Linked DNA regions of Bombyx mori. Each later gene encodes a partner of the first gene's protein in a complex. Links are inferred from orthologs where the notes say so. Each region holds a gene or a part of one and is shown in the gene's direction. Other genes may lie near its edges.

Region 1 (3,500 bases):
ATTCCACAAATATTGAAGTCTCAAAGTATTTCCTTCGTATGCCCCACGTGCGTACAATATTACAAGAAATGCCTTCAATTTTTCTTGCGTGATTATCCAGGTTTTCCCCAAAACTCGAGAGGCTTCTAGCTCTGTACAAATTTTCGTTTTGACATTTTTAGGGGCTAAGGATATGCAGGCTACTTGCTGAACAACATATATTTGAATATTTTTCAAATACTCATAAATGTTTATTACGTGTCACTGTATGGGTAAAGATGAATGATTACGTTTGGAGATCGCTTGGACTAAGTACTCGTAAAAAAATCGTATAGATACCGTAATCGCCTAAATCGGCTCGATAACGATAACGTAATGAACAAAAGAAGCATGGGCACTATTTGTATTTTCACGGTCTCATGATTCTCCCGAAATCATACATTTCTTCCTAGAAACATGCACCAGTCATTTTGACTGGTTCTGGTATAAATAGTTATAACAAAAAATATATTTGTTACTAACATTATATAAAGTAAAATTAAGTTCATAAAATGTATTCTCTACTTATACCTACAAAAGTTATAACATCAATTTGGAAAGCAAATATTTAATGTAGTAGTCATTTTGAATTGAAGTTGCACGACCAGTCAAAATGACTGGTCTGGTAAATCTAGTGTTAATTAAGCAATTGTAATAAAGTTAATATGTCGGCAACTTTTTTTTATTAAAAGTAAATAAGAATAAAAAATTTCAGTAAATAAATAAGTATATATAAAATATTTTAAAAGTCTGCCAGACTGTCGCTCCCTTCGAGAGCCACCAGGAGAGTTTATTTTTATAGTCAAAAAGTATGTAAAACAACACTCGTTTTTTTTTTTAAATAATGTTATTGACTTTCTTTGCAATAAAAGTCTTACATTGTTTACATGATTCATGATCACCATAACTTTTAAGTTCTATTTCAAACGTTTTTTAATGTTATTATTAATTGATTATAATTAAGTGAAATAATCTTAATCGTATATAGATTCGTATGTAAGTGATAATTGTTTAATCACAATTACAAACCCAACAATAAACAAAACAACAACAACAAAATATATAATGTGTGCCTCTCCAATACATCTCAGAACAATGAATTTGAGGATTTTTTTTTTGTTATTTTCAGTGTAATAACGTTACAAGATGACGAGACCACGATACGAATGGTCGATGACGCTTTTGTTCGCATATGTTCGGCCGTGAACGATCTATGCATGCAAGTGCGAGCGCTCGCCTGCACGCTGCTCGGCACCACGCGCGCCGTTTCCGATCGCTTCCTGTTGCAGACCCTCGATAAACAACTAATGAGTAACATGAAGGTGATTACGGAACCAACACTAAATATACCATTGAAATACACATTTAAATATGTTCAGACATTATATGGATTAGAAACGCACACAAAAACGCTTATAATATTCATGTAAAGAAAAACCTTTAAAGCTCTTTTAGTTTTTTAGATTTTTCTGAGCACGGAAGCACTCACCTGTCATTCCATGAAGTGACTTGTTCAGTTTTGCATCTATATCTATAAATCTATAGTGGCTTTTACGGATGTTCCGTTATAATTACTGAACCATATATTCGATTGACTTGAAACTTGGTATCCATGTAGAAAATACATGTACTTAATGGATAGGCTAATATTTATATGAGCGTTGGACTCCCTACACCAGTTGTGGGGGCGTTAATGATAAGAATCTTTTTGGAGGGTGAGAAATAATAATATTAATTTTAAATGCCTAGCGAAGCGGACGGGTACAGCTAGTAGTATAATAATACTGCTTAAAATATTAATTTAAATACAGATTAAGGGCTTTAAATGTTGTTTTCTTATTTATATTACAGAAAACGCAATTAAGTCTTTGATTGTACTCATTCATTCTGGCGTATTTGATATCATTATATTCATAATATCATTATATCGCGTGTCAATTCGACCACGTCTTAATGTGATTTATTTGTTAAAACACCAGGCATATGCGTGGCGTTTGTACCGTGATCATGGAAGCAGCCTTCCTTGGTCTCATTAGCTTTATCTCATATCTAATTCACATTTAATTATAGTGTAAATTGAATATAATACAGAAAAAGCGCACAGCACACGAGCGCGGCGCGGAGCTGGTCCGCAGCGGCGCGTGGGCGAGCGGGCGGCGCTGGGCGGACGACGCGCCCGGCGCGCTGGTGCCGTCCGCCGCCGTGCAGCTGCTGCCGGGCGGGGCGGCCGGCGCCTTTGTGCACGGACTCGAGGACGAACTCATGGGTCAGAGCATAGATAATACACATAATTTAGTTATAGATAAGCAACTCAAGCACTCAACAAAAATGTTTATGGGCGTCGGCCACTAGATGGCTACGCTTCGATTAGTTTTTCATTGCTCCTGTAGATGACAATAACATATTAAGCATCGCAGGCTTTATTTAAAAAAAAGTATATTTTCAGAAACCCCAAAGTGATAAAATTTAATCAATTTTTCTATAACAAATAAAGGCTTGTAAGATTTACAATATTTTTTATAATCGAATTTAATTATTGTTTTCAACGTAATAATTTGTTCTAATTGTTCTTTATGTTCCCAGAGGTGCGCACGGCAGCCGTCGAAGCATTGTGTCAACTCTCACTAGAAAACCCGGTGTTCGCGACCACCTCCCTCGACTTTTTGGTGGACATGTTCAATGACGAGATCGAGGAAGTGCGGCTGCGAGCCATCGACGCCCTCACGAGGATCTCGCATCATATCGTACTTAGAGAAGACCTACTGGAGACCATACTAGGAGCCTTGGAGGTCAGTCCCGGAGATACTAGAAGCTGATAATAGTCTATTTGTAATACAGTTGTAGGAGCAGCCGTAGTTAAGCTGCTTCAACTGGCTAGATTGTCTAGGCATTGACTCGGAAGATAGGTAGCACAGAGAAAATGAATATTGTTATGCCTTTTAGGTTACGTATATTGTATATAAGATTGGATTTATGTACAATATAGGTAAATTAGCACATAAGTAACTCTAAATAAACGCAAGTAAAGAAGCATCTCCGAACCTGTTCCGAACAAAAATAGCGTATGATTGGCCTAAAATCATAAGCGACAGCGATTTTACCAAAATTGAAAGGCGGTTGCCCAAGTAGTGGTATGAAGTGGCGGGTAAGTGAGTCGCCACACAGTCCTTGTGATGCTATGAAGCCCGCAAGTCACCCTCCTGCTTGGTTTGTTCAGGAAGAACTCATGCGCTCCGTTTTCATGGATGGTGGAGCAGTGATTAATACAACTGCGACTCTACGACATCTATTACCACTTTTCCCTGATGGCAGAGAGAGAGAGAGAGAGAGAGAGAAGGCGAGAGAAAGAGAGAGAGAAGGCGAGAGAAAGAGAGAGAATGAAAGTTATTTTCTAATTTTTTTCCTAAGTAACTAAACAGAAATCTGCCACCATCAAACTTCACCTCTTTCTACGAAAAAGGGCAATTTAGTTTTTACTGGAA
Region 2 (4,158 bases), on another chromosome or scaffold:
TAATTATTAAACTGTCAAGGTAAAGTTTGGACACAAACACTGAAGTTTGATACAAAAAAAATAAGTTTTTTTTTCTTTATTCTTTCTGGCCATACCGCCCACCTGATGGTGAGTGGTTACCGTCGCCCATAGATTTCAGCAATGCCAGGGGCAGAGCCATTCCGCTGCCTAGCGCTAAGTACTCTCCAAAAACCTCGTTTGAAGAAGGACATATCATAGTGTTCAGGAAATGAGGAGAGCTCATTCCAAAACAGAATGGTACGTGGTAAAAAAGATGGAAATGCTCTGTGGATGAACTCAGTGGCTCCAGGTAGTAGGTGTGAGGGTAAAATCGAGATGATGGTATCATCTCAAAAAATTCCTCAGCGGCGAAGTCCCTCCGCACACCCAAGAGTTAAAATAAAAATATATATAATTTGATTTCGACTTTAATTTCTTAATCATTGTTATTTTTACAATAATTTTTGGTACGATACACGTACCGCTATGGTAATTCAACAGAATGATTATTTAAATAAATTAAGTACGTGTAAAAAAATCATTTTAAACATTTAGGATAGTACATACCTGGCCAGTTATTCCAGTTATTAAGGCAATTTTTTTCGGATCGATTACATTAGAACTATCTCCGGACATATTCAAATTTTAGGCAATCAAATTTTAAATTGTTATAGAAAATGTAGTTTACACGTCCTCACTTCGGTACCGGCTCTGGCTGATAAGGCGTTTCTCTTGGCTCTTATCACAACAGTACTTACAAGCTATACACAGTAATCATAACCTAAGGAAATTCAATGGTGTCGAATAAATAAACGATATTAATTAAGACAACGATTTTTAGTGTTGCAATAAAGTTAAATATTATAAATCAGTACTTAAGCTCAATTGGTAATACGATTCCCACTTTTGTTTGCACAGCCATGGCACAGCCTAAACCAAAACACAACATAATACACATAGATTATACACTTAATATATTTGAGAACAATACATACAAAGACTATCACAATTTTTTTAAGGGATTTGTGACCTGATAACTAAGACCTTTAAGTAATGTCTTGTTGACTTCGACTTTTTGGTGGGAACGTGAGGAGTGAAGTTGAGTGATTTGTTTTATTTTGTCTATTTAATGTTTCTTCAGGTTGAAATGTACAATAACGTTGGTTTATTAACTGCCTAATATCTGTGAAAGTGCACAAATGTGGGAAAATGAAGCCAAGCCGCTGGACGTAACTTCTCTGGATCCTCCAAAAAGTCTACTGAAAAATCTCAGTAAATGACCGCCATTTTACTGAGATTATATTTCATCCCATATCATTTCATCTCCTTTCATTTAATTTCATCCCAGTTGATTAATGCCCCAAATTAATCACCTTCATTTCATTTCACTCCATTTATCATTTTTCATAAAAATAAGAATATAAATTAAAATAAGACATGACCTAAAAGTCTTAGTTACCAGGTCATAAAATACCTTAAAAAAATAATAATGATATACACATACCGCTTTGACATTAGTGACTATAGATAATACAACCCATGTTGCGGAATTGTGATGATAATTAACAGCAAATTACTTAAAAAATATTGTTTGTTATTTATAAATAACATGTTTTAGGGTTAAATGAGTTTTAACAGTATGTAATAAATTATTTTTATGAAACATCGTACTGATTATTAATACACCACGGTACCTACTGGCGAATCATTTCGTGTCGTTAATATTCATAATCTTGAAACGTATATTTTCATAAGCTTCCTTGGATGTGGTAAAACTTATAATGCCGGATATTAAGATTACGCCACTCGGAGCGGGCCAGGATGTTGGTCGGAGCTGCATCTTGCTAACCATGGGTGGCAAAAACATAATGTTAGATTGTGGTATGCATATGGGCTACAACGATGAAAGAAGATTTCCTGATTTCTCTTACATTGTCCCGGAAGGCCCTATAACGAGTCAGATTGACTGCGTTATTATATCACATTTTCACCTAGATCACTGCGGTGCACTGCCCTATATGTCCGAAATGATTGGTTATACCGGCCCTATTTACATGACACACCCGACTAAAGCCATAGCACCAATCCTTCTCGAGGATATGAGGAAAGTCGCAGTGGAGCGCAAAGGTGAGTCAAACTTCTTCACTTCCCAAATGATTAAAGATTGTATGAAAAAAGTGACAGCTGTGACTCTCCATCAATCAGTAATGGTGGATAATGAATTAGAAATCAAAGCTTATTACGCAGGACATGTCTTAGGAGCTGCAATGTTCTGGATCAGAGTAGGGTCACAATCTGTGGTTTACACAGGTGATTACAACATGACACCTGATAGGCACTTAGGAGCCGCCTGGATTGACAAATGTAGACCTGATCTGCTCATAACAGAATCCACATATGCAACAACCATAAGAGATTCAAAACGCTGTCGTGAAAGAGATTTTCTCAAAAAAGTTCATGAATGTGTAGAAAAAGGAGGTAAGGTTCTGATTCCGGTGTTTGCATTAGGAAGGGCACAGGAACTTTGTATTTTATTGGAAACATATTGGGATCGTATGAATCTTAAATATCCAGTTTACTTTGCTCTTGGACTGACAGAAAAAGCAAACAATTACTATAAAATGTTTATAACATGGACCAATCAAAAAATAAGAAAGACATTTGTTCAAAGAAATATGTTTGACTTTAAGCATATTAAACCATTTGACAAGACATACATTGATAATCCCGGTGCTATGGTAGTTTTTGCTACGCCTGGAATGTTGCATGCTGGATTGTCACTAAACATCTTTAAGAAATGGGCTCCTTATGAGCAGAACATGGTGATTATGCCAGGATTCTGTGTGCAAGGCACAGTCGGACACAAGATCCTCAATGGAGCAAAGAAGGTTGAATTTGAAAACAGACAAGTGGTTGAAGTTAAAATGGCAGTAGAATACATGTCATTTTCAGCTCATGCTGATGCAAAAGGAATTATGCAATTGATACAATATTGTGAACCCAAAAATGTATTGTTGGTACATGGTGAAGCTCAAAAAATGGAGTTTTTGAAAGATAAAATAGAGAAGGAATTCAAAATTAGTTGTTTTATGCCAGCTAATGGTGAAACATGTGTTATAAATACTCCAACAACCATTCCTATTGATGTCTCGTTGAGGTTGCTGAAAGCTGAAGCAGTGAGATACAATGCCCAACCACCTGATCCAAAACGCAGGCGAGTTGTTAATGGGATTCTGTGTGTGAAAGATAACAGGCTATCATTACTAGACATTGATGAGATGTGTGATGAAATCGGAATAAACAGGCATATCATTAGATTCACAAGTACAGTTCGTTTTGAGGATCCGGGGCCAGCTATCAAGACTGCTGAAAAATTGCAGAATTTACTGACGGAAAAATTAGAAGGCTGGACTATAACTATATCGGAAGGAAACATATCAGTTGAGTCAGTACTCATCAAGGTAGAAGGTGAAGATGATAGCACAAAAAACATTTATGTTTCTTGGACAAACCAAGACGAAGACTTAGGTAGCTATATATTAGGGCTCCTGCAATCAATGGTTCAATATAGTCCAATGAAAGAATAAGAAATGTCATGTTTTAGGATTTTTATTATGAATTATTTTGTAATTTTGAATAAATTAGTTTTAGTTAATAATATTTGTTTTATGTACACCAAGTGATATCCACATTGCATTTTCCCTGGTACCATAAGTACTGAAGTCTGTTTGGTTTGTTCAAGTGCTTCAAGTCCTCTTCTTTTAAAGTAGCATTGGCTTTCTGGAATATAAAAATAAAATGTCAATAAAATACAATATTGAGTTTCACCTAGTGTGGACAAAAGAAAGTTTCTATAAATGCAAAGCAACATCTTTTTTATGGTTAAAAATAATGGAAGGTGATTTATGGTTTAGGATTCTTTTTCCATGGTGCCACAGTATGAGTCTCATAGAAAATGTGTCTTACTTCTGCACTACCTACCGATCTTAAATTGGTGTCCGTTATACATGTAGTCGTCGTGGCCTAAGGGATAAAACGTCCGGTGCATTCGTGTTGAGCGATAACCCGTTTTTCGAATCCCAGGCAAGTACCAATTTTTCTAATGAAATACGTACTCAACAAATGTTCACGAATGACTTCCACGGTGAAGGAATAACA
Region 3 (4,081 bases), on another chromosome or scaffold:
TTTTTTATTGCTTGGATGGGTGGACGAGCTCACAGCCCACCTGGTGTTAAGTGGTTACTGGAGCCCATAGACATCTACAACGTAAATGCGCCACCAACCTTGAGATATAAGTTCTAAGGGTCTCAGTATAGTTACAACGGCTGCCCCACCCTTCAAACCGAAACGCATTACTGCTTCACGACTGAAATAGGCAGGGCGGTGGCACCGCCCGCGCGGACACACAAGAGGTCCTACCACCAGTAATTATGCAAATTATAATTTTGCGGGTTTGATTTTTATTACACGATGTTATTCCTTCACCGTGGAAGTCAATCGTAAACATTTGTTGAGTACGTATTTCATTAGAAAAATTGGTACCCGCCTGAGATTCGAACACTGGTGCATCGCTCAACACGAATGCACCGGACGTCTTATCGCTTAGGCCACGACGACTATTCTTACACTTACACTGTATACATATAAAATATATAATTACCTACAACAACGTAACAAATGTTGTGTACAATAATAGCATAACGGACTTGGATATGACTTCCCACCAACATAATTTATAATCTGAATTGACAAGTAGATAATCTAATTTTTATCACACTAAACTTGACTGGAATAACACTAGGTATATCTGCTATACAGTACAGTATAATAATAACAATGTATTTCATGGTTCATAATATATTACTTACCAAAGGTTTTACAAATAGCTTAATAAATAGACATACCCGATCCTGTGGACCGAACGGTAACAAGTCGACGTCGCTCTAAACACGTCATTACGGATCCTCCCGATTCATTATCGGTACTTTTAAGTACACACCTCAAGCACCGGTCACCGTCCTCGCCGAACCCGTCGCTTGTGACGAAGGGCTCGACGAGTAAATTAACCCATAGACATAGCACACTGAGTTTCTCTGCTCTTGCTAGGGCCAGTGTTAGCAATACTTCCGGTTTGAGCACCGTGAGTTCACCTACACGTTAGGGCGAAGCTGAAATAGCCTCTCACGGCTATCAGCATAGGTAGGAAAAAAAATGGACTAGAGAGTGATACGGCTAACTCTTTTTCCCGAGGAATGCAAATGCAACGAGTTTCATTGTTTCCGAATAACAAATTCAACGAATATGGAACCGTAGTACAAATTTTGTTAATTAATGAATTACATTTAATATCGTTTGTTTCATTTTACTTTTACACAACAGATATAACTCGTTTGTTACAAATATTTAGTTGTATGTATTGAATATGCTCCCTTTGCCTGTCGATTAAAACAATCAAATGCTTATCTGACAGATAATATCTGTAGGTAGGTAACTAGAACCTACCTACCTACATAATATAAATATATTTTGTTTAGCTATTTTGAAAGTACTTATGTACCTAATATTCATTTATTTCAATTAATGATGTTGTACAGTTATGTATTATCTATGCAATACACTGAATAAACGGTTCATCAAACCTAAGCAAAAATAATATTGAAGCCGGACAAATTGATAAAGCAGTTACTAATACATAAACATACTTTAGTAATAAACAATATTCGTCCGCAAATTCGAAATATAATATATAAACTAATAATGAAGCTTGTAAGTATGCAATATCTTCACTAATTTATTCAAAACACTTGAAAAATATGTAAGAGTTGAACTTGAAACACAAAATACAAAAATAATATTAGAATTCATACTATTAGAAGATTGTGTTAGAATTAAACCTGCAGGACGCGAAAACAAACCAAATTGCAGTGGAGTGCTCCATTTGCAAGTAGTTTATTAATATAGTAAATTATTTTACAAGAACAGCCCATACGTTTTTACTGTAATGATATCCTGGGTAGAGAGGCAGTCTCCCACATCCCCACAATTTTTACATACAATTTTGTTTAAGTGATTATTTCATAGCTTTTTGGGATATGAACCTAATACTAGAGACTAAAGGCACCACAAGATGAATGATACCTCTAAGAATTTGTCCCTCTCTTCTATTGAAGTATTGATTGCTTGGATCCAATGACTAACCAGTTAAATCGGAATGCATGATTGTGTCTGAACAGAAATAAGTAGAATGGTTTGAAATTGTCATAAATCATTCTATGTGTACTCTAAGATCACAGCTGTTATACAGGTACTATAGGGACAGAAAAATAGGTGTGGCTTTAAAATACCAGGATGGCTCCACTATTCTGGCATATCTGTTTAATTGAGCATTACCATATGGACCCCTGACTTATAAATAATATAACCAGTGCTTACCTTAAACAATGTTTGATTTGATTACAGTATTGTTTAAGCAATGATGCAGCGAAGCCTTGCTTTGTGTTGTCTTTCAAAGAGCTCCTCATAATGTTGGATTGTGGGCTGTCATCCCACTCTGTGCTCAACTTCCTACCGCTGCCTCCAGTGCCTAGCACTCGACTCGCATCCCTGCCTAATTACACACCACCACATCACAATGATCCACTCTTGGAAGGGGTATAAAAATTAAGCTTATTACATTTCTTATTATCATTATTTATATATCAGTACCTAGGTATAAAGTGGTTACTGGAGTCTCTGGTCATGACAACATTATTACCACCACCCACCTTGAAACATGAAGTTGAATTCTCAGTTGTATTGTATGATGGTTGTTCCATTCTTCAAACAAGAGGCAATCACAGCAAAAACAGACAGGATACTGAATCCACCACTAAATATGGTATAGTCAGTATGCTGCTTTAATACTCACAGAATGCTTATTCTCTGGTGAATCCATTAGGTACAGTCTTTAAGCAAAAAAACACATTTCATCAATTAATTATTTTATATACAAACATTAAATTAATAAAAAACTCAAAACTCCTCATTAAAATAATTTTTAAACTTATCCAACTGTATCTCTCAGTTACATTACACGTACCTTCCAAACTGCATTCAACAGATTTCTGATATAAAAAATCAAAGGGACTCATATTTTAAATCTGACTCCAATGCTATGATTAAAAACCCTATGTCAAATAAGTAATAACATGTTAAATTTAATGATATTTCTTTATAATAAAAACAGAATCAATATCAGGTGATATTTAAACTAACCCATCTCATTACAGGAACTAAAGGAGTGTTGCGGCAGAGTGTTTGTTGATAGCATGCCTGAGTTTTGTCCGCCTCTCGATAAAGTAGTCGATTTTTCTCAGCTAGATGTAATTTTAATCTCAAATTACACTTGCATGCTGGCCCTGCCTTTTATAACAGAAGATACAGGTTTCAAGGGCCAAGTGTATGCCACTGAACCTACTCTACAAATAGGAAGGTATTCATTCTCTATTCTTTTTATGCCTTCAAAAGTATAATGATAAAAAATATACATTTCTGTATTGTATATATGGTTATAGAGTATATAACAACACCATATTATTGTAAACAGAATATGCTTATTGAAAGTACAGTATCAGAATGGATTGAAGCAGCAGAAAGATGTAATAAAGATAATATATTTGGAGGTTCTACCTGGAGGAGCTGTCGGAGTGGGTGTGCTCAAGCGGGTCGGGGTCGGGCTCGGCCAAGCGTTGGAAGGAGGCGGTGCACGTGCTGCCCGCCCCCCTCGCCGACGTGGTGCGGCCCCGCGCGTGGCGCCGCCTGCTCGCCCCGCACCACGTCGCCCGCGCCCTCGCGCGCGTCCGCGTGGTCGGCTACGACGAGAAGGTCGACCTGTACGGCGCGCTCGACGCCACCGCCGTCAGCTCCGGCTTCTGTCTGGGCTCCGCCAACTGGGTGCTGCGCTCCGCCCACGAGAAGGTCGCCTACGTGAGCGGCTCCAGCACGCTCACCACGCACCCGCGCCCCATCAACCAGGCGGCTCTGCGGGGCGCCGACCTGCTGGTGCTGGCCGCGCTCACGCAGACGCCGGCGCACAACCCGGACCACATGCTGGGCGACCTGTGCGTGCACGCCACCGTCACGCTGCGCGCCGGCGGCTCCGTGCTGTGCCCCGTGTACCCCAGCGGCGTGCTGTACGACCTGCTGGAGTGCCTGTCGGCGCACCTGGACACGGCGGGGCTGGCGCACGTGCCGCTGTACGTGGTGTCGCCGGCGGCCGAGGCGTCGC

What was found. Proteins that work in one complex are often made in the same cells at the same time.
Region 2: the proteins of integrator complex subunit 4 (region 1) and integrator complex subunit 11 are in contact, whole or in part, in a cryo-EM structure (PDB 7SN8), measured with the Drosophila melanogaster proteins. The link is inferred for Bombyx mori from reciprocal best matches to the Drosophila melanogaster genes IntS4 and IntS11. Residues at the interface, in NP_572488.1 of Drosophila melanogaster: Arg226, Ser227, Gly228, Gln233, Lys256, Phe259, Tyr260, Asp262, Ser263, Gln264, Lys299, Asp300, Asp301, Cys349, Leu351, Lys380, Lys381, Ile437, Glu441, Glu443, Phe444, Leu445, Glu446, Arg448, Asp471, Phe472, Asp475, Asn478, Glu480, Ile481; in NP_651721.1 of Drosophila melanogaster: Thr182, Pro183, Arg185, Gly188, Ala189, Trp191, Ile192, Asp193, Lys194, Arg196, Ile210, Arg211, Asp212, Ser213, Lys214, Arg215, Arg258, Asn287, Gln288, Lys289, Lys292, Thr293, Met299, Gln400, Asn404, Asn469, Ala470, Pro472, Pro473, Pro475.
Region 3: the proteins of integrator complex subunit 4 (region 1) and integrator complex subunit 9 are in contact, whole or in part, in a cryo-EM structure (PDB 7SN8), measured with the Drosophila melanogaster proteins. The link is inferred for Bombyx mori from reciprocal best matches to the Drosophila melanogaster genes IntS4 and IntS9. Residues at the interface, in NP_572488.1 of Drosophila melanogaster: Arg105, Leu108, Val112, Thr115, Asp116, Asp147, Thr148, Ser149, Lys153, Glu156, Gln193, Met196, Arg200, His231, Lys234, Gln264, Asp265, Ser266, Arg269, Tyr302; in NP_648838.3 of Drosophila melanogaster: Arg2, Arg23, Met88, Lys90, Met91, Asp93, Glu96, Asp98, Arg173, Lys176, Asp203, Leu205, Gly206, Gly500, Glu501, Ile502, Arg504, Val544, Lys545, Asp546.

Annotation. Positions count from the first base shown.
Region 1 is NC_085121.1:12,652,344-12,655,843, reverse strand, and holds part of integrator complex subunit 4, read left to right. Parts: intron 1-1,147; coding exon 1,148-1,340; intron 1,341-2,109; coding exon 2,110-2,284; intron 2,285-2,601; coding exon 2,602-2,807; intron 2,808-3,500. UniProt on the Drosophila melanogaster protein: Component of the integrator complex, a multiprotein complex that terminates RNA polymerase II (Pol II) transcription in the promoter-proximal region of genes.
Region 2 is NC_085124.1:3,287,827-3,291,984, reverse strand, and holds integrator complex subunit 11, read left to right. Parts: upstream 1-1,470; 5' UTR 1,471-1,781; coding exon 1,782-3,587; 3' UTR 3,588-3,658; downstream 3,659-4,158. Other genes in the region: GDP-mannose 4,6 dehydratase, read right to left, coding at 568-636; probable tubulin polyglutamylase ttll-15, read right to left, coding at 3,667-3,780. UniProt on the Drosophila melanogaster protein: RNA endonuclease component of the integrator complex, a multiprotein complex that terminates RNA polymerase II (Pol II) transcription in the promoter-proximal region of genes.
Region 3 is NC_085111.1:141,753-145,833, reverse strand, and holds the start of integrator complex subunit 9, read left to right. Parts: upstream 1-1,281; 5' UTR 1,282-1,572; coding exon 1,573-1,581; intron 1,582-2,274; coding exon 2,275-2,466; intron 2,467-3,083; coding exon 3,084-3,286; intron 3,287-3,476; coding exon 3,477-4,081. UniProt on the Drosophila melanogaster protein: Component of the integrator complex, a multiprotein complex that terminates RNA polymerase II (Pol II) transcription in the promoter-proximal region of genes.